Saccharomyces cerevisiae S288C: one gene and its partners. Changing the gene in region 2 together with the main gene of any one other region gives a genetic interaction. Each region holds a gene or a part of one and is shown on either strand. Other genes may lie near its edges. The genes, in order: AAH1, MCM10, REV1 and POL31.

Region 1 (5,151 bases), on a different chromosome or scaffold from region 2:
TTTTTTTTTTTTTTTTTTTCCGATAACAAAGAAGAATCCTTCGGTCTCTTCTTACTGCTGTTACTGCTTATCAAGAGTGTCTGGTAATAGTCAAAGCCAGATAAGATAAGAAATGTAAAATCGACTATTTCCCTCGTAAAAAGCTTCAATTGCTCACGCATCGACGAATACTAAGCGGCGTGAAGACCCTGTGCCTTATCAATGAAGTATTCAGTACAAGAGGTGTTCATTCCGAGCCACTTTTCTGCACCATATATAAGCAGTAGTTACACATGTGCTAACCAAACATCAGTGGGTAGTAATCATTCGTGCTTTCACGTCCTTTCAAATTAAATATCCTTCTTAAATAATAAGTCTGCACAGAGCTTTGAAAGAAGTTTAGTTTTGTAATATATCATACTTAATATATTACAATACAATATCAACAATGTCTTACAATTTTACAGGTACGCCTACAGGCGAAGGAACGGGTGGTAACTCGTTGACAACAGATTTGAATACACAATTTGACTTGGCCAACATGGGATGGATCGGTGTGGCTTCAGCAGGTGTGTGGATTATGGTCCCAGGTATCGGTTTATTATATTCTGGTTTATCCAGGAAAAAGCATGCTTTATCCTTGCTTTGGGCCTCGATGATGGCTTCCGCCGTGTGTATTTTCCAATGGTTTTTCTGGGGATACTCATTAGCTTTCTCACACAACACTAGAGGTAACGGTTTTATTGGTACCTTGGAATTCTTTGGGTTTCGTAACGTTTTAGGAGCCCCATCTAGTGTCAGTTCTCTTCCCGATATACTGTTTGCCGTTTACCAAGGTATGTTTGCCGCAGTCACCGGTGCCCTAATGCTAGGTGGTGCCTGCGAGAGGGCAAGGTTGTTTCCTATGATGGTGTTCTTGTTTTTATGGATGACTATTGTTTATTGTCCTATTGCATGCTGGGTCTGGAATGCCGAGGGTTGGTTGGTCAAATTGGGTAGCTTGGACTATGCAGGTGGTTTATGTGTCCATTTAACATCTGGACATGGTGGTCTAGTTTACGCTTTGATACTGGGTAAGCGTAATGACCCTGTTACACGTAAAGGGATGCCCAAGTACAAACCACATTCCGTCACCTCGGTGGTTTTAGGCACAGTGTTCTTATGGTTTGGTTGGATGTTCTTTAACGGAGGCTCTGCAGGTAATGCAACTATACGAGCATGGTACTCTATTATGTCCACAAACTTAGCTGCTGCTTGCGGTGGCTTGACATGGATGGTTATCGATTATTTCAGATGCGGAAGAAAGTGGACTACAGTTGGTTTGTGTTCAGGTATCATCGCTGGCCTAGTGGGTATCACCCCAGCCGCCGGGTTCGTGCCAATCTGGTCAGCCGTTGTCATTGGTGTGGTTACTGGTGCAGGATGTAACCTTGCTGTTGACTTAAAGAGTCTATTGCGCATCGATGATGGTCTAGATTGTTACTCTATCCATGGTGTGGGTGGTTGTATTGGTTCTGTATTAACTGGTATCTTTGCTGCAGACTATGTAAATGCCACTGCAGGCTCTTACATTAGTCCAATTGATGGTGGCTGGATCAATCATCACTATAAACAAGTTGGTTATCAATTAGCAGGTATATGCGCTGCACTAGCCTGGACTGTTACTGTCACATCTATCTTGCTTCTAACTATGAATGCCATTCCATTTTTAAAACTAAGATTAAGTGCTGATGAGGAAGAATTAGGTACCGACGCTGCTCAAATTGGTGAATTTACATACGAGGAATCCACTGCTTACATCCCAGAACCAATCAGATCTAAAACATCGGCACAAATGCCACCTCCTCATGAAAACATTGATGATAAGATTGTGGGTAACACAGACGCAGAAAAGAATTCTACGCCTTCCGACGCTTCTTCTACTAAGAACACTGACCATATAGTATAATGATATACTCAAGCAGACTATGATTTTATGTTTAATCTTTATGTAACGCTTCATTTAATAATTTTATTTTTAATATTTGATATATTTTCTTTTTTTGATAACTCCGAATGATGAGGGGAGACGTTAGTATTACTTCTCTTGTCTTATGTTATTATCATAATCGATGACTTTAACTGTGCACACTATAATATACAGCATCTCCAGAGCATGATAGCAAGAAATTTTCTTTAAGAAAGCCTCTATATACCCTATATATGCTGTTAACAGGAAAAGAGCACAAGGTTTATTTTGCTTTGGTTGCAAATTTTCATCGCTTATAGAAGACATATTTTGATGTAAAAACCTTGATATACTTCCTTTTTGCCTTATCTTTCACTGTTTCCATCTCTTTTCTTTTTTTTTTTTTTTTTTTTTTTTTTTTTTTTTTTTTTTTTTGAATCTTAAAATTCTCGAAACTGCACTGAAATGGCGCAGGAAACTGACCTCATCGCATGCCAACGAAGATTGAAAAAAATTAACATATAAGGCTTATGAAAGCGACATCTTTTGCAAATGAATAATTGACAAGCAGGCCTGTGTATTTATAGTTATTTTGAAATAATAACTACCATTAGAACTAACAAAAGAAAAGAAAAAAAAAATAATGGTTTCTGTGGAGTTTTTACAGGAGTTACCAAAATGTGAGCATCACTTGCATTTGGAAGGTACTCTAGAACCTGACCTATTGTTCCCATTAGCTAAAAGAAACGATATAATTCTACCTGAAGGTTTTCCTAAATCGGTCGAGGAATTAAACGAAAAGTATAAGAAGTTTCGTGATCTGCAGGATTTCTTAGATTACTATTATATTGGTACTAATGTCTTGATTAGTGAACAAGATTTCTTTGATTTGGCGTGGGCCTATTTTAAAAAAGTTCACAAACAAGGCTTGGTCCATGCTGAAGTGTTTTACGACCCTCAGTCACATACATCTAGGGGCATCTCCATAGAAACAGTCACTAAAGGTTTCCAAAGAGCTTGTGACAAAGCCTTCTCTGAATTTGGTATTACATCCAAGCTAATTATGTGTCTGTTAAGACACATTGAACCAGAGGAATGTTTGAAAACTATCGAAGAAGCTACCCCATTTATTAAAGATGGTACTATCTCTGCCTTAGGATTAGATTCTGCTGAGAAACCATTTCCCCCACATTTATTTGTTGAATGTTACGGAAAGGCCGCCTCATTGAATAAAGATTTAAAACTAACTGCACACGCAGGTGAAGAAGGCCCCGCTCAATTCGTCTCGGATGCTTTAGACTTGTTGCAAGTAACAAGAATCGATCACGGTATCAACAGTCAATACGACGAGGAGTTATTGGATAGGTTGTCGCGCGACCAGACCATGCTAACTATTTGTCCTCTCTCCAACGTGAAGCTACAAGTAGTCCAATCCGTTTCAGAGTTACCACTACAAAAGTTTCTTGACAGAGATGTTCCATTTTCTTTAAATTCTGATGACCCCGCCTATTTTGGTGGTTATATCTTAGATGTCTACACTCAAGTTTCGAAAGATTTCCCACACTGGGACCATGAAACATGGGGTCGTATCGCTAAGAACGCCATTAAAGGTTCATGGTGTGACGATAAAAGAAAGAACGGTTTGTTAAGTAGAGTGGACGAAGTAGTCACTAAATATTCGCATTAGTACCATTTGCAAGACATTGTATAATATTTTTGTTGAAAGTCTTTTTCGATTCATAAGCGCTTTTTTGTAAATTTATAACACTATGTGTATGCACAAATTTCATTCGATGTTTTTGATGCTTTTTACATCCCCTTTTGTGTGGGAAAGGATACAATAGAATTCTACAAACTTATTTGAGTGATTATACGAGCATTAGCTGGACCTTTTGTATTTCACGAGATTACAATTCGGGAACTATCAAAGTACACGTTAAAATTCAGCTCGGGTATGTTAAGTACTAGTAATTACCTCTGGTACCTACTGACGTAATTCCCACCCTTGGGACCTTGCGGAAGCGCCTGAGTATTGCTCTTTCTATTTCCGTTGTACCTTTGATTTTCATTGGCTCTATGGGCAGCACCGCTATCTCGTGTATTTCTATAATCTTGCGTTTGAAATTTGTTTCTAATTGTTTCATCCTTCTTGAATCTTTTATTCGGCTTTTCTTCATTTTCTGAAGGCGAGTCGCGCTTGTAAGATGAAGCTTGGTAAGGGTTGGCTTTGCTGCTGTCTTTGCCCTCTTGAAATGGCTTTTCAGGAAACCGTAATTGTGAACGTTGTGAACTGTTTTTCTTATACTCTTCACGTAAGCGGTTATCCCTTTGATCAAAACCATCGCCCCTGTCCGGACCTGTGGGTCTAAGTGCCCTACTTCTATCATTATATGTTTTACTTTTACTAGGTCTAGTTGGTAGTTCTGACCTTTTATGTGCATAACTACTGATTGGCTTAATATTTTTGGGTGCAGAACGATCATTGCTTGGTCCTCTATAGTTGGAACTACCATAACCATCTTTGCCTCCAGCATTTCCGCTGTACCTACTTGATCTTTTGGTATATTCAGGAGCAGCAGCTTCAGAATATGAGCTAGTCGTATCTGGGTATGGCTCGCGCGAGATATTTTTAATATACCTTTTAAGCGAATCAATTTTTTCTGCAAAATCTGGATTTTGAGGATTTTGAATGAGTGTCCTAAAGTACCTTTCGAATATTTCCAAAGTCGAATTTCTAAAGTCGAATATTGGCATATTTTGCTTAGATAATTTCCTTAAATTCCGAGTTTCATCGTCGTTCTCTACTAAGGAAATTGCCTTTTGTAAATGGTTCGTGGCCAAATAATGGTTTATATCGTCGACGTGCCTGGTGACTTTGGAATATGACCATTGACTACTAGAAGGTTTTGTTGGGATTACAGGCTCATTACGAGAATAAGTATATCTATCCTTGCTATTTAATCCAGCACTGCCGCTTGCAACACTTTTGGGTGGATCATTTTGAAGTCTTTGCGACTTATTAAGCTCTAACTGCTTTCTTAAAGCTACTTGCTTTTGTTCATTTTGGCAAGCTGTTTCATAATTTTTGATCTCTTCTAATTCCATTTCACGTATTCTCTTTTGTTCAGCTTCCTCTTCAGTTAAGGTGCAGAATTCGTCCAATTCTAAAGCGTCCTTCAAACGCGCTTTCAAATGGCCAATCAATGCGCTGCTTGGTAGTTTAA
Region 2 (5,620 bases):
CATTGTATAGCGCTCAGGATTTACTCGATAAACATGAAAGGAAATGGATGGAGGAAAAGGCTGATTATGAAAGAGAATTGATATCTAATATTGAACAGACGGAATCCTTGCGTGTTGAAAATTCGGTATTGATTGAAAAGGTTGATGACACAGCAGCAAATAATGGCGATAAAGATCATTTGAAGCTAGTTTCTTTGTTTTCAAACTTACGTCATGAAAGAAATTCTTTAGAGACGAAGTTAACCACCTGTAAGAGAGAATTGGCATTCGTTAAACAAAAGAACGATAGTTTAGAAAAAACGATAAATGACCTGCAACGAACCCAGACTTTATCGGAGAAGGAATACCAATGCTCTGCAGTTATTATTGACGAATTCAAGGATATCACGAAAGAAGTTACTCAAGTTAACATTTTAAAAGAGAATAATGCCATCTTACAAAAGAGTCTCAAAAACGTAACCGAAAAAAACAGGGAAATTTATAAACAATTAAATGATAGGCAAGAAGAAATTTCTCGATTACAGCGTGATCTCATACAAACAAAAGAACAAGTTTCGATAAATTCTAACAAAATTTTAGTATATGAAAGTGAAATGGAGCAATGTAAACAGAGGTACCAGGACTTATCTCAACAACAAAAAGATGCCCAAAAAAAAGACATTGAAAAGCTAACTAATGAGATTAGTGATTTGAAGGGAAAACTTTCAAGCGCTGAGAACGCAAACGCTGACTTGGAAAATAAATTCAATAGGCTAAAGAAGCAGGCTCATGAAAAATTGGACGCATCTAAGAAACAACAAGCTGCTTTAACTAACGAACTCAACGAATTAAAAGCAATTAAAGACAAATTAGAACAAGATCTACACTTTGAAAACGCTAAAGTTATTGATCTAGATACGAAGCTCAAAGCACATGAACTCCAATCAGAAGACGTCTCGAGAGATCACGAAAAGGACACTTATCGGACATTAATGGAGGAAATTGAATCACTCAAAAAGGAGTTACAAATTTTCAAAACTGCGAATAGCTCATCTGATGCATTTGAGAAATTGAAAGTTAACATGGAGAAAGAAAAGGACAGAATTATTGACGAAAGAACGAAGGAATTTGAAAAAAAATTACAAGAGACCTTAAATAAGAGTACAAGCTCAGAAGCAGAATACAGTAAAGATATCGAAACATTGAAAAAGGAATGGCTAAAGGAATATGAAGATGAAACGTTAAGGAGAATTAAGGAAGCAGAAGAGAATTTAAAGAAAAGAATAAGGTTACCAAGCGAGGAAAGGATACAAAAGATCATTAGTAAGCGTAAAGAAGAATTAGAAGAAGAATTTCGAAAGAAATTGAAAGAAAACGCGGGAAGCTTAACGTTTCTTGATAACAAAGGTAGCGGGGAAGATGCCGAAGAAGAATTATGGAACAGTCCATCGAAGGGGAATTCTGAGAGGCCGTCGGCTGTCGCTGGCTTTATAAATCAAAAAAACCTTAAACCTCAAGAACAATTGAAGAATGTGAAGAATGACGTTTCCTTCAATGACAGCCAGTCAATGGTTACAAATAAAGAAAATAATATCGTGGATAGTAGCGCTGCTGGTAACAAGGCCATTCCAACCTTTAGTTTTGGTAAGCCATTCTTCTCCTCTAATACATCATCTCTTCAAAGTTTTCAGAACCCATTCACAGCATCCCAATCTAATATCAATACGAATGCCCCCCTACGTACACTCAATATTCAACCTGAAGTTGCAGTCAAAGCGGCGATTAACTTTTCCAACGTAACCGATCTAACTAACAATAGCACCGATGGAGCAAAAATAACAGAAATTGGAAGTACATCTAAACGGCCAATTGAGAGCGGTACATCTTCTGATCCAGACACCAAAAAGGTTAAAGAGAGTCCAGCAAATGATCAAGCTTCCAACGAGTGATGTAATATTAAACAATGTAATTATATAAATATGAAACATCTACATATTTTAAATGTCACTAATGTCATTACAGAGGACATAAAGTGATTTATGACACATCCGTACTAGTAGTTAAGTATGAACAAATTTTGGGTTTATTTGCCATTTTTTTTCACGCGGGTTTCTTGGATGCGCAAACCCACCTTTTCTAACACCACTAAGAAATATCAACTTTATAGGCCATCGAAGATAAAGGAACGTAAGTTTGTCAATTCAACCTCACATTTTCAACGCACATTAAGCACTTGGTTCGTGGAGAAATGAATGATCCTCGTGAAATTTTAGCGGTTGATCCGTACAATAATATTACTTCTGATGAAGAGGATGAGCAAGCCATCGCGAGAGAACTTGAATTTATGGAACGAAAGAGGCAGGCCTTAGTGGAACGATTAAAAAGAAAGCAAGAATTTAAGAAACCCCAGGATCCTAATTTTGAAGCCATCGAGGTACCTCAATCTCCTACCAAAAACCGTGTGAAAGTGGGGTCTCATAATGCTACACAACAAGGCACAAAATTCGAAGGTTCGAATATTAATGAAGTAAGGTTATCTCAATTACAGCAGCAACCAAAACCACCAGCTAGTACAACCACATACTTTATGGAGAAATTTCAAAACGCAAAGAAGAACGAAGATAAACAAATTGCCAAGTTTGAAAGCATGATGAATGCAAGAGTACATACGTTCAGTACCGATGAGAAGAAATATGTGCCGATAATCACAAACGAATTAGAAAGCTTTTCAAATCTTTGGGTTAAAAAGAGGTACATACCTGAAGATGACTTAAAACGGGCTTTGCATGAGATCAAAATCCTTCGGTTGGGCAAACTTTTTGCTAAAATTCGCCCACCTAAATTTCAAGAGCCTGAATACGCCAACTGGGCCACCGTAGGCCTCATTAGCCACAAATCGGACATCAAATTTACATCATCTGAAAAGCCAGTCAAATTCTTCATGTTCACCATAACGGACTTTCAGCATACACTAGATGTTTATATCTTCGGGAAAAAGGGTGTAGAAAGATATTATAATCTTCGCCTGGGTGATGTGATAGCAATATTAAACCCAGAAGTACTACCATGGAGACCCTCAGGGCGAGGAAATTTTATCAAATCCTTCAACCTTCGAATTAGTCATGACTTCAAATGTATCCTGGAGATAGGTTCAAGTAGAGATTTAGGTTGGTGTCCCATAGTGAATAAAAAGACTCACAAAAAATGTGGCTCTCCCATTAACATATCTCTTCATAAGTGTTGCGATTACCATAGAGAAGTGCAATTTCGTGGAACAAGTGCTAAAAGAATTGAATTAAATGGTGGGTACGCCTTGGGCGCGCCTACGAAAGTGGACTCTCAACCAAGCCTATATAAGGCCAAAGGGGAAAACGGGTTTAATATAATCAAAGGTACTCGTAAGCGCCTGTCAGAAGAGGAGGAAAGACTTAAAAAGAGCTCTCACAATTTTACGAATAGTAATTCTGCCAAAGCATTTTTCGACGAGAAATTTCAGAATCCAGATATGCTGGCAAACTTAGACAATAAAAGAAGGAAAATAATAGAAACTAAGAAATCGACAGCACTGAGCCGCGAACTAGGCAAAATTATGAGAAGGAGGGAATCCAGCGGATTAGAAGATAAGAGCGTCGGAGAGCGACAGAAAATGAAACGAACCACAGAAAGTGCCCTCCAGACAGGGCTTATCCAACGCCTAGGATTCGATCCCACTCATGGAAAAATTTCCCAAGTACTCAAGTCTTCTGTATCAGGGAGCGAACCTAAGAACAACTTACTCGGTAAAAAAAAAACTGTTATAAACGATCTCTTGCATTACAAGAAGGAAAAAGTCATTCTCGCACCTTCAAAGAACGAATGGTTCAAGAAAAGAAGCCATCGCGAAGAAGTTTGGCAAAAACATTTCGGATCCAAGGAAACTAAAGAAACTTCTGACGGTAGTGCCAGCGATCTTGAGATAATATAAATAAGTATTGGTGTGCTTTTCAGGGCCCCAAAATGGTATTACTTTTGATGGACAATGGCGCGGGTAATGATTGAAAAATTATGATGAAAAATTGAGTGATTTTGGTTGCAATATAGGGAATCAATCCTTAAAGTGAGAAAGAACAGAAGAGAACATCTTGTGAGACACAAAACGCTCCGAAAACATCTCCCTCTTGGGCGCATCCTTCATTCTGTACTCTTTACTTCACTTTACAGTCGTTTTTGGCCGATCTTTGGCAGCATCTAACGTTATTTTTAGGTTCAATACATAACAACAAGACCACGGATATCGCATAATATGGTTGACCTAATGGTGCCGGCGAATGATGACCCTAGTAATGAAACTGATTATTCTAGATCCAACAACAACCACACTCATATTGTGAGCGATATGCGCCCGACCTCCGCCGCATTTCTTCATCAAAAGCGACATAGTTCTTCGTCGCACAATGATACACCAGAGTCGTCGTTCGCTAAAAGAAGGGTGCCTGGAATTGTAGATCCCGTAGGGAAAGGATTTATAGATGGAATAACTAATAGCCAGATCTCTGCACAAAACACACCCTCCAAAACTGATGATGCATCTAGAAGACCGAGCATCTCTCGCAAAGTTATGGAATCGACACCACAAGTTAAGACCAGTTCTATTCCAACAATGGATGTTCCTAAATCTCCATATTATGTGAATAGAACTATGCTTGCTCGAAATATGAAGGTTGTTTCTAGAGACACTTATGAAGATAACGCAAATCCACAAATGAGAGCTGACGAGCCATTAGTCGCTTCAAATGGTATTTATAGCAATTCGCAACCCCAAAGCCAAGTAACTTTATCCGATATTAGAAGAGCTCCTGTAGTTGCTGCTTCACCCCCGCCGATGATAAGGCAACTTCCTTCGGCGCAGCCAAATCAGACGTTTATTAAAAAACTGCAGGAAATTTATAAAATCATAGTGGTGCAGGAAACCGAGTTACAACAAAGATGCCTTTATTTAACCACCTCTCAAACCACAGAACTAAAAAGTTTGTGGGCAATATACAGACTGAACACAGAACTGATCAAAAATTACATCAATTTCATCATCACTGCATTATTAACTACACAACCTATAAACGACTTGATTATGGGCCAAGAAATTTTGGATATTTACAGAATAGAAAAAAGATTGTGGGTTTATGGTATAATAACCTTCTTGGATGTACTAAAGAACTTTTCGAACTTTATGGACCCAGAGGTATGTTGTCAGTTTATTATATACGCTTTCATCTCTGTCTCAAATATGCTTGAGGATATACCGTTGAAATATTCTATTTTGTGGAGACAAAGATTGGGTGATTTGTCTAGAATGGCAATATCGCTGTACCCATCAGGATTCATAGATTGGAGGCTAAGCGCCGAATATTGGTATACCGAATCAATGAAATACATATATGGGTGCGGAAAACTATATTATCATATTGCCACAGTTCAACAGAACAGTTTAGAAGCGTTCGTAAACTTGGGAAAAAGTGTTTTTTGTCAGGATCCCTTCACTCCGTCTCAGCAAACGTTACAGTTATTGATTGAAAATATCTATCAATCTGCATTCATAGATAGAAGTTCTGGTAGTGCGAACAATAATGAAATTGCCCATAGAAATTCTCAATTAATTGATTAT
Region 3 (6,641 bases), on a different chromosome or scaffold from region 2:
GGAGCCGCATTAAATAAGCATACGAAAATCATCAAGGTTATCGGCATTTAATTTTTTAGAGGCTTCTTTATATCCCATAGTTAGATTATTCAATCAAAAGGTTGTAAATGCCTATTAAGTTGCCTCTTGTCATGGTCCCATATTCCCTGAGGCATTCCTGCCAAGAATAATGGATTTCTTTCATGCATAATTATTGAGTATTTGAATCATCTACATCGCACCCAAAGAAATTTGATATCGTATAATTCAGCATATTATTATATACTGTGTAAAAAGATGACATGGGAATTAAGAAACAATCATCAGATTTAGTGGATGCCGCAATACAAGGACTGATAATGTAAAGAAATAAAAGAGAACGCGACACAAAATGCAAGGAAAAATAATAAATGTTACGTAGAAATATCGGTTTCCTTTCCTTGATTTCTATATCTTAGTAATGAACTTCAAGAATATGCTTATTTTACCCAATTATAGCTTTAATCATCAATAGGATCTTAAAAATTATTCTAATATCCACCGAATTTTCGAAAAGTATACTAATTTAAACATTTGGTGTAAGCGTTTAGGTTGCTAACGTAGCAGCAAACGTTGGTATCAATCACCACTTATTGCGCTACATTTCAACAATGTTCTTGAGAAATGGGTGAATGTTGAGATAATTGTTGGGATTCCATTGTTGATAAAGGCTATAATATTAGGTATACAGAATATACTAGAAGTTCTCCTCGAGGGTCTAGGAATCCCCATAATGGAATCTATATTTCTATATACCAATATTACGATTATTCCTCATTCCGTTTTATATGTTTCATTATCCTATTACATTATCAATCCTTGCACTTCAGCTTCCTCTAACTTCGATGACAGCTTCTCATAACTTGTGTCATCATCTTAACACCGTATATGATAATATATTGATAGTATAACTATTAGTTGATAGACGATAGTGGATTTTTATTCCAACAGTTCTCTTCAACCATTCGTTTTTGGGACTGAGGAAAATGAATATAAAATTATAATACTTCATCTTGAACTTTGAGAAATCACAAATTGTATGGGCGTGTGGTCTAGTGGAATGATTCTCGCTTTGGGCGATCCCCCTGATCAAACAGGAGGAACAAAGCATGCGAGAGGCCCTGGGTTCAATTCCCAGCTCGCCCCTTTTTTTGCAACTTCGTTTTAGACAGTTACTTAATTTTGTTTCTTAGGCACAACAATATTTATAAAAGAAGAATGTAAGTATGACGACGAAAACGAAAAGACTAATAGTTTCATATAATACTAAACGATTTCAATTTTCGTTTTATATCCTTCCTATTCATAAATTTTATTTCGCTATGCCAATAATGAGTGGATGTATAGTTGATATCTGTTTCGATAATTTTAAAGTAGATAGTAAAATCTTACTGACATGAATAATCCGTCCAAAACTAGATTACTGTATACAAGCATATTTAAAAAAATAATGAAACTATGATCAAAAAACTGTGCTACTACAGCGGTGTTGTTATCCGATACAACCGGATATTTTTCTTTTAATGAGTCTAAACCGTGATAGCTTCAGGTTAATACAATCAAAAAAAGCTCAAATATTCTTTTAATGCCGCGTTCACAGATTCCAATTGAATACAACTAGGTAGTTCATTATATGAAGCCTTTGCTACTATTTTTCACTATAGTCTGCCTTCACCTTAATGCAGACATCCACATATTTTAATCACTTTAAAATAAAAAGGAAGATATATTAGAAGCTATGATCCAATCTGTAAGCCAGATTAAAATTCACGAACTCTTCTTTCATTTGAATTGAATGCTTTGAGTTGGGGTAGATTATCGCAAATTACTCATCACATTTATTGACTACGAACTTGCTGATGTCCTTTTTTTATTTATATTTTTCTTCAGTGAAGCGATTTTTTTTTTACACAGACCAAGACGGAAAAAAGTAGCTAAGGAAGAAAACAAAATCATGAAAAAAATGTGAAGTGATCATGCACATCGCATCAACTTAAACATTGGCTTAGAGATATATAGAGTTAGAGTTTACGGCAACCTTTAAGCACCAATACCTTTTGGCATAGTCTAAAGACCTGGTTCTTAATTTTAAACAAATTTAACTAAAGATTTCCCTATCAAAGAAGTAACGAGTTGACAGATTTTCTCAAAATAAATCGATACTGCATTTCTAGGCATATCCAGCGATGGGTGAACATGGTGGTCTTGTAGATTTATTGGACAGCGATTTGGAATACTCTATAAATAGGGAAACACCTGATAAAAACAATTGCCTTAGCCAGCAAAGTGTCAATGATTCACATTTAACAGCAAAGACCGGCGGCTTGAATGCAAGGTCTTTTCTATCTACGTTAAGCGATGATTCCTTAATTGAATATGTCAACCAACTCTCCCAAACTAATAAGAATAATTCTAATCCAACTGCAGGTACTTTAAGATTTACTACTAAAAATATTAGCTGTGATGAATTACATGCTGATCTTGGCGGTGGCGAAGATTCACCTATAGCTCGTAGCGTCATCGAGATCCAGGAAAGTGATAGCAATGGTGATGATGTTAAAAAAAATACTGTGTATACTAGGGAGGCTTATTTCCACGAGAAGGCGCACGGACAAACCCTGCAAGATCAAATATTAAAAGATCAATATAAAGATCAAATTTCTAGTCAAAGCAGTAAAATATTCAAAAATTGCGTCATCTATATAAATGGCTACACCAAACCTGGAAGACTGCAATTACACGAGATGATAGTTTTACATGGCGGAAAATTTTTACACTATTTGTCTTCAAAGAAAACGGTTACTCACATAGTGGCTTCCAATTTACCATTAAAGAAAAGGATTGAATTTGCAAATTACAAAGTAGTCAGTCCGGATTGGATAGTTGATAGCGTCAAAGAAGCAAGATTATTGCCCTGGCAAAATTACTCGTTAACATCTAAACTTGATGAACAGCAAAAAAAACTAGATAATTGTAAAACCGTAAATTCAATTCCATTGCCCTCAGAGACTAGCCTGCACAAAGGATCTAAATGTGTAGGGTCGGCATTGTTGCCAGTAGAACAGCAGTCACCAGTAAATCTCAATAATTTGGAGGCGAAAAGGATAGTCGCTTGTGATGATCCTGATTTCCTTACTTCCTATTTTGCTCATTCGAGATTACATCATCTCTCCGCATGGAAGGCCAATCTGAAAGATAAATTTCTGAATGAAAACATCCACAAGTACACCAAAATTACGGATAAGGATACCTACATTATCTTTCATATCGATTTTGACTGTTTTTTTGCAACTGTTGCGTATCTATGTAGAAGTTCTAGTTTCTCAGCATGTGATTTTAAACGGGATCCTATAGTGGTATGCCATGGTACTAAAAACTCCGATATAGCTAGTTGCAATTATGTAGCAAGGTCATATGGGATTAAAAATGGAATGTGGGTGTCTCAAGCTGAAAAGATGTTGCCAAATGGGATCAAACTAATATCATTACCATATACCTTTGAGCAATTTCAATTAAAATCGGAAGCCTTTTACAGTACTCTCAAAAGATTGAACATATTCAATTTGATTTTACCTATATCTATTGATGAAGCTGTTTGTGTGAGGATAATCCCTGATAATATTCATAACACTAATACCTTAAATGCAAGACTGTGCGAAGAAATACGCCAAGAAATTTTTCAAGGAACGAATGGTTGCACAGTGAGCATTGGATGTTCCGATTCTCTTGTGTTAGCAAGACTAGCTCTCAAAATGGCGAAACCAAATGGTTACAATATCACGTTTAAGAGTAACCTATCTGAAGAATTCTGGTCTAGTTTCAAACTAGATGATCTGCCTGGAGTTGGGCATTCTACTCTGTCAAGGTTAGAATCAACGTTTGATAGCCCACATTCTTTAAATGACTTGAGAAAAAGATATACTTTAGATGCTTTGAAGGCGAGCGTCGGCTCTAAGTTAGGTATGAAGATTCATCTCGCGTTACAAGGCCAAGATGATGAAGAAAGCTTGAAAATACTGTACGATCCCAAAGAAGTCTTACAAAGAAAATCATTATCAATTGATATCAATTGGGGAATCAGATTTAAAAATATCACTCAGGTAGACTTGTTCATAGAAAGAGGTTGTCAGTATCTTTTAGAAAAATTGAATGAAATAAACAAAACAACGTCACAAATCACATTAAAACTGATGAGAAGATGTAAAGACGCTCCAATTGAACCCCCAAAATATATGGGGATGGGAAGGTGCGACTCATTCAGTCGGAGCAGCAGATTAGGTATTCCAACAAACGAATTTGGAATTATTGCTACCGAAATGAAAAGTTTGTATCGAACTTTGGGCTGCCCTCCAATGGAATTAAGAGGTCTTGCTCTACAATTCAACAAATTGGTTGATGTGGGTCCGGATAACAATCAGCTGAAACTGAGGTTACCGTTTAAAACAATAGTGACGAACAGAGCTTTCGAAGCCTTACCGGAAGATGTAAAAAATGACATTAACAACGAGTTCGAGAAAAGAAATTATAAGAGAAAAGAATCCGGGTTGACTTCAAACTCATTGAGCTCTAAAAAAAAAGGATTTGCCATTTCCAGATTAGAAGTAAATGATTTGCCCAGTACTATGGAAGAACAGTTTATGAATGAACTACCAACCCAAATTCGAGCAGAAGTAAGGCACGACTTGAGAATTCAGAAAAAAATCCAACAGACAAAGTTAGGAAACCTACAAGAAAAGATAAAAAGGAGAGAAGAGAGCCTACAGAACGAGAAAAATCATTTCATGGGCCAAAATAGTATATTCCAGCCGATCAAATTCCAAAATCTGACACGGTTCAAAAAAATTTGTCAATTAGTGAAACAATGGGTTGCCGAAACTTTAGGTGATGGAGGGCCGCATGAAAAAGATGTTAAATTATTCGTGAAATATTTGATTAAACTTTGCGATTCTAATAGAGTCCATTTAGTTCTTCATTTATCAAACCTAATATCAAGGGAATTAAATCTCTGCGCCTTTTTAAATCAGGATCATTCAGGCTTCCAAACGTGGGAAAGAATTTTACTCAATGATATAATTCCACTTTTAAACAGAAATAAACATACTTACCAGACTGTGCGTAAACTTGACATGGACTTTGAAGTTTGAATTAAAAAAAAAAAAACATTTCAGCATACAGTAAACACGCAGTTTGCGAACATTACCTGTAATATCTGCATGATTATTACCAAAGAAAAAAAAAATAACTGACACAATGGACAATTAAATAAAATTAAGTAAAAAAAATAAGGACTTTAATTTTTACTAGAATTCTTGACCAACAGTAGAAATGCGTAAGGTATTGGAATGGCCGACTCCTCCTTTGAATCCTTGAATGGAAACAACAGTATCACCGTTGTCCACCATTCCGAAAGACCTCGCCATTTCAACACCAAACTTTAGGCGCCTATGAACATCCTCACCCCAGTCGTCTAGGCGTTTCGGTTCATACAGAAATGGGAAAACACCTCTATACAAATGCGCAATTCTTGCCGTTCTTGCGTGTCTTGTTACTAATATGATAGGGCAGCTTGGTCTATACTTCGACAGTAGCCTTGCCGTGTTCCCTGTAGTAGATAATACAACGATGGCCTTACCATCTTGCTCCAAGATTGCTGCGGTAGCTGCAGCTGCTACAGTTTCCGTAGTGGAAGTAGGTTTGGGAGTGGCGTCTCTGAGATCGTCATAAAGAGCCAAATGAGCGATAGTACTTTCAGCAATCAGAGCGGTCGCCGCCATAATATTAACTGCATTCACCGGATAATCACCCTTCGCCGTTTCTCCAGAAAGCATAACACAATCAGCACCATCCAACACAGCGTTACCCACATCCGATACTTCAGCCCTTGTCGGTCTCGGATTGTGTGTCATTGAATCCAGCATCTGAGTCGCGCAAATGACAGGTTTGCCCGCCAAATTACATTTTGCAATCAGCTTTTTTTGAATGGCTAATACTTCAGGTGCCAGGATTTCAATTCCTAAATCGCCTCTCGCTATCATAACACCATCCGTGACTTCCAGGATTTCGTCAAAATTATCCAACCCTTGCTGGTTTTCTATCTTGGATATAATCTTGATATCTTGCCCTTCAGAACCCAACGCTTTTCTGATAGACAACACATCTTCTGAAGTTCTTATGAAAGAGGCAAATACGATGTGAATGCCATTGCGGACTCCGAATTGCAAGTCCTTCATGTCTTTGGCGGACAAGGGGGGCAAATCAACGTCGGTATTAGGCAGATTAACACCTTTATGAGATGCGATATAACCCGAGTTTACCGCTTGCACCCTTAAATTAGATTCGTCAATGATTTGGAGCACTTTAAAAGAGAGAATCCCGTCGTCCACGTATATAAATCTCCCCGGAACGATAACTTTTGTCAGGTTAGCATAGTCTATATACATGATTTTATCATTGGAGGTGTTTGCAAAACTTGCGTCAGTGGTAAAGATCATTTGGTGGTCTACGGGGATATAAAGATCTTGGTCATTTAACGTGCGACCTGTTCTGATCTCGGGACCCTTGGTATCCAGGGCAATGGCGAGCGGCCTGCCAGGGAATTGCTGTTCCGATTTCACAGCATTTTC
Region 4 (5,196 bases), on a different chromosome or scaffold from region 2:
ATGACCCCATATACATCAAAGACACGAAATTAGAGTGTTTATATCTTTTAGCTAACAAGGAAACATTACCAAGAATTCTAGAAGAGTTGGAACAATATGCTACAGATATTGATATTCAAATGTCAAGGAAATCAGTCAGAGCCATTGGTAATCTGGCTGTTAAGCTAGATGAAGACTCTGTACACGATTGTGTCGCTGTTCTACTAGATTTGTTAGAATTCGGTGTTGATTATGTCGTCCAGGAGATTATTTCGGTTTTCAGAAATATTTTGAGGAAATATCCCAATAATTTTAAAGCAAACGTAACAGAACTAGTCAAACACACTGAAGTTGTACAGGAACCTGAATCAAAAAACGCTATGATCTGGATAATAACGCAATATTCGGATGTAATTCCAAACTACCTGGAGTTATTTAGAGTTTTTTCCTCAAACATGTTTAGTGAGACGCTAGAAGTGCAATTTTCCATTCTGAACTCAGCAATAAAATTCTTCATCAGAAGTCCTACAAAGGAAACTGAAGAACTTTGTATGGATTTATTAAAAGGATGCATCGATCACGAAAATAATCCTGACTTAAGAGATAAAACACTGATGTATTGGAGATTGCTGTCATTAACGAAAACGTCTCGTATATCAAACGCGATAACTTTTGAATCTTTAAAATCAGTACTGGACGGAGAGTTGCCACTAATAGAAATGAACACGAAATTAGATCCCACCGTTTTGGAGGAATTGGAGCTAAACATTGGTACAATAGTATCGATTTACTTAAAACCTGTTTCTCATATCTTTAGATTGAATAAAACCAAACTGCTACCACAAAGTCCTATTTTGAATCCAAACAAAGACCTCTTGCCAGTTGTAGGTAACTCATTTCCTCCAACTGGAGCTAATAGGGACCGTCAAAATTCAGAAAGCCAGTCCTCGACGAAGTCCAGAAAGACTGCTATGATGGATGATTATGATAAGCCCGCTGAAAAAATTAATCAGTTGAAAGGTAAGCGTAAATCTAGTTCAAACAACCCCTCAAAACTATCACGGAAACCCTCAACTTTATTAAGAAAACTCTCTATGAAACGGCCCTTTTCGTGACTGCAAATGATACTAATTCCTGTATTTAAATATACTCATATTTAACGAACAATTATGATGAATGAAAAAACCTGATATAATAGACTTAACTAAGCGATCATAAAAAAATTCAAAAAGTTATTTTATAAAACAATTCAGATGTTAAACTAAAGAGTTAATGTAATATATATACAATGAACTGCGTCATAAATTCCCATAGTTCAGCTCATGGGACATTATCTACTTATAAAGACGTGGCTTGGCAGCATTTCATATATAAGGCTACTGAATGTAAATTTTTCTTCCATTGTCTTTCCCGTGTCCCGAGAACTCAATTCAAGCACTGTTCTTGGGCGTAATAAACCTTCCGGTACTACTAAAATCAGACAAAGGCAGGAAGCCTCGATTTGACCTTTTAACGGGTAAAGCTCTAAAAGTTGCTCTCTGCTCCATATTCTCGTTTTCCGTCATTTCAGTATCTTTTTCCCCTGCCTCCCTTACCTAAAGCTTCCTCTTCGGCGGCTAGTAATTGGTCTCTTTCCTTTTTGGCTCTTAGCTTCTCTGTCTTTTTTTGTTCCATAATCAGCTTCTTCTGGTTAGGGGTTCTCGCACCTTCTTCCCACCTCTGAGCTTCTTGAGCTTCTAGTTGTTGTTTCTCTAGTTGGTCCTTTTCGTAAGCTTGCCTACGTTTTCTTGCTCTTCCTGCTGCCACTTTTTTGGCAGTTTCTGAGTATCTCTTGCCAGTATTATGCATGTTCGCTTCTTCACTATGTTTGGTGGTTTCTAATGACAACTATGCGGTTAGCAAACTTCCAAAAGGCGGTTAATAATACGACTACACATTATCCTATATATATATATATATGTACGCAAGTGCTTAGATTGGAAAAAAGGGTGCAACATTCTCGATTGTTCTATTTCAGCCTGTTGATATCAATCTGTCGTTCAATGCTTTGTGGGTGTGCTTTACCCACTCTTATACAGTAGTTAAGTGGCAAAAAGGGTGTCAAAGGGAAAGGAAAACCAGAGGAAAAGCAAAATAGCCGCCAATACTAACTCTAGATTTATATCATGTTATACGATTAATCAGACGCGTCTGATTAATTTCAAAAGTTAAAATATAAACTATTTTTGAAATCCCATTGCAATAAGCGAACTATAGCTGAATCTTTCCTGCAAAAATGGAAGTGAAGGGCAATGGACGCATTGTTAACAAAGTTCAACGAGGATAGAAGTCTCCAAGATGAAAACTTGTCCCAACCACGAACGAGAGTAAGAATTGTTGACGACAATCTTTACAACAAATCGAATCCATTCCAACTATGCTATAAAAAACGTGACTACGGTTCTCAGTACTACCACATTTATCAATACCGTCTAAAGACTTTCAGAGAACGCGTCTTAAAAGAATGTGACAAGAGATGGGATGCGGGCTTTACCTTGAATGGCCAATTAGTTCTAAAAAAGGACAAAGTGTTAGATATTCAGGGAAACCAACCATGTTGGTGCGTAGGATCCATATATTGCGAGATGAAATATAAACCAAACGTACTGGACGAAGTGATCAATGATACATATGGTGCACCAGATTTAACTAAAAGTTATACTGATAAAGAGGGTGGTTCTGATGAAATTATGCTCGAAGATGAAAGTGGGAGAGTGCTTCTAGTGGGAGATTTTATTCGGTCTACACCCTTCATCACGGGTGTTGTTGTAGGTATACTGGGTATGGAAGCTGAAGCCGGGACATTTCAAGTTTTAGACATATGCTACCCCACTCCTTTACCACAAAATCCTTTCCCTGCACCAATTGCTACCTGCCCCACCAGGGGAAAAATTGCTCTTGTTTCTGGGTTAAACCTCAATAATACATCACCTGATAGGCTATTGAGATTGGAGATTTTGAGAGAATTTTTGATGGGGAGAATCAATAACAAAATTGACGACATTTCTCTAATTGGTAGATTACTGATATGCGGCAACTCTGTTGACTTCGACATTAAAAGCGTGAACAAAGACGAATTGATGATTTCTCTAACTGAGTTCAGTAAATTTCTACACAACATTTTGCCATCTATATCTGTTGATATTATGCCCGGAACCAATGATCCAAGTGACAAATCTCTACCGCAACAGCCTTTCCACAAATCATTGTTTGATAAGTCCCTAGAATCATACTTCAACGGTTCTAACAAAGAAATTTTGAATTTAGTGACCAACCCATATGAGTTTAGCTATAATGGCGTAGACGTTCTAGCCGTTTCAGGCAAAAATATCAATGATATTTGTAAATACGTAATACCATCAAATGATAACGGAGAAAGTGAAAACAAGGTCGAGGAGGGCGAGAGTAATGATTTCAAAGACGATATAGAGCATCGCCTGGACCTTATGGAATGTACAATGAAATGGCAAAACATCGCGCCCACCGCACCTGATACCTTATGGTGTTATCCGTACACTGATAAGGATCCATTTGTATTGGATAAGTGGCCCCACGTTTACATTGTGGCAAACCAGCCATATTTTGGAACAAGAGTAGTGGAAATAGGTGGTAAGAACATAAAGATAATATCTGTCCCTGAATTCAGTTCTACTGGGATGATAATATTACTGGATTTGGAAACGTTAGAAGCAGAGACGGTCAAGATTGACATTTAAATAAAACAAGGAATAATTTCCACATAGATATGCAATTAAGTTTTATATGTAAAAGTGAGCATTCATCGTTCAGCTCAAAATACGTTTCTTGTCACAGCTGGTAGAAAAACTATGAGCGTTTTTTCTTACCCGCAGTCGGAGAAAAATTTTTTCTTCGAAGAGGCGAAAAAGAGAAGAAGAGAAAGCACAAATCTGATGAAATAGTAGTATAAAATCGCATTTACAAATTTTCAACCATTGTTTATTTCCTAGGTCATTAAAGAGTAAAGTGCAATCTGTTTACTAATCAGTTTTTGTCTTCATATTTTTGTGTCTTTTCTGCTGCCTCACGCACCTTCTATAATACACCAAATAATGTCCACTTCTCATTGCAGATTTTATGAAAACAAATACCCAGAAATTGACGATATCGTCATGGTTAACGTCCAGCAGATTGCTGAAATGGGTGCTTATGTTAAATTGTTAGAATATGACAACATTGAAGGTATGATTCTACTAAGTGAATTGTCCCGTAGACGTATTAGGTCAATCCAAAAATTAATTCGTGTTGGTAAAAATGATGTCGCCGTTGTTCTTCGTGTCGACAAAGAAAAAGGTTATATTGATTTGTCCAAACGTCGTGTTTCTTCTGAAGATATCATTAAATGTGAAGAAAAATACCAAAAATCTAAGACTGTTCATTCCATTTTAAGATACTGTGCCGAAAAATTCCAAATCCCTTTGGAAGAACTATATAAGACCATTGCTTGGCCATTAAGTCGAAAATTTGGTCACGCTTACGAAGCTTTCAAACTATCCATCATTGACGAAACTGTTTGGGAAGGTATTGAACCGCCATCAAAAGATGTTTTAGATGAATTAAAGAACTATATCTCCAAGAGATTAACACCACAAGCTGTAAAGATTAGAGCCGATGTTGAAGTGTCTTGTTTTAGTTACGAAGGTATCGATGCCATTAAAGACGCATTAAAATCAGCTGAAGACATGTCCACAGAACAAATGCAAGTTAAAGTTAAATTAGTCGCCGCCCCATTATATGTTTTGACCACCCAAGCCTTGGATAAGCAAAAAGGTATTGAACAACTGGAAAGCGCTATTGAAAAAATTACAGAGGTTATTACAAAATACGGCGGTGTTTGCAACATTACCATGCCACCAAAGGCTGTCACTGCTACTGAAGACGCTGAGTTACAAGCTCTATTAGAAAGCAAAGAATTAGATAATAGATCTGACTCTGAAGACGATGAGGATGAGTCAGACGACGAGTAATCATTGCCGCGCCTAATTTTTCTAGGTGTTTTCAAGTGTCATACTGTTTTAGAAAATTTTGTATAGAACAAATACGTATATCCTGCCATATCATATTCTTTGCAATATACACCTTGTACATTTGGCTATTATAAATATTACAATCCATTTAATCATAATCAAAATTTAATTTCTGTTACCACGGGGTTGTCAG

What was found.
Region 1: mutations in MCM10 (region 2) and AAH1 together harm fitness more than expected from each alone (negative genetic interaction), as found in Saccharomyces cerevisiae (2 studies listed by BioGRID).
Region 3: of MCM10 (region 2) and REV1, changing one suppresses a phenotype caused by changing the other (phenotypic suppression), as found in Saccharomyces cerevisiae (one study listed by BioGRID).
Region 4: mutations in MCM10 (region 2) and POL31 impair growth when combined (synthetic growth defect), as found in Saccharomyces cerevisiae (one study listed by BioGRID).

Annotation. Positions count from the first base shown.
Region 1 is NC_001146.8:357,026-362,176, forward strand, and holds AAH1 (adenine deaminase), read left to right. Parts: upstream 1-2,570; coding exon 2,571-3,614; downstream 3,615-5,151. Other genes in the region: YNL143C (uncharacterized protein), read right to left, coding at 1-161; ammonium permease MEP2, read left to right, coding at 428-1,927; YNL140C (uncharacterized protein), read right to left, coding at 3,892-4,461; THO2 (Tho2p), read right to left, coding at 3,899-5,151. UniProt on the Saccharomyces cerevisiae protein: Catalyzes the hydrolytic deamination of adenine to hypoxanthine. Plays an important role in the purine salvage pathway and in nitrogen catabolism.
Region 2 is NC_001141.2:59,336-64,955, reverse strand, and holds MCM10 (Mcm10p), read left to right. Parts: upstream 1-2,227; coding exon 2,228-3,943; downstream 3,944-5,620. Other genes in the region: MLP2 (Mlp2p), read left to right, coding at 1-1,928; ESL1 (Esl1p), read left to right, coding at 4,262-5,620. UniProt on the Saccharomyces cerevisiae protein: Required for DNA synthesis. Required for entry into or completion of S phase. Involved in DNA replication and seems to participate in the activation of the pre-replication complex (pre-RC) and in transcription elongation.
Region 3 is NC_001147.6:979,624-986,264, forward strand, and holds REV1 (deoxycytidyl transferase), read left to right. Parts: upstream 1-2,204; coding exon 2,205-5,162; downstream 5,163-6,641. Other genes in the region: pyruvate kinase PYK2, read right to left, coding at 5,319-6,641. UniProt on the Saccharomyces cerevisiae protein: Deoxycytidyl transferase involved in DNA repair. Transfers a dCMP residue from dCTP to the 3'-end of a DNA primer in a template-dependent reaction.
Region 4 is NC_001142.9:446,932-452,127, forward strand, and holds POL31 (DNA-directed DNA polymerase delta subunit POL31), read left to right. Parts: upstream 1-2,270; coding exon 2,271-3,734; downstream 3,735-5,196. Other genes in the region: APL1 (Apl1p), read left to right, coding at 1-1,094; LSO1 (Lso1p), read right to left, coding at 1,546-1,827; SUI2 (translation initiation factor eIF2 subunit alpha), read left to right, coding at 4,089-5,003. UniProt on the Saccharomyces cerevisiae protein: DNA polymerase delta (DNA polymerase III) participates in chromosomal DNA replication.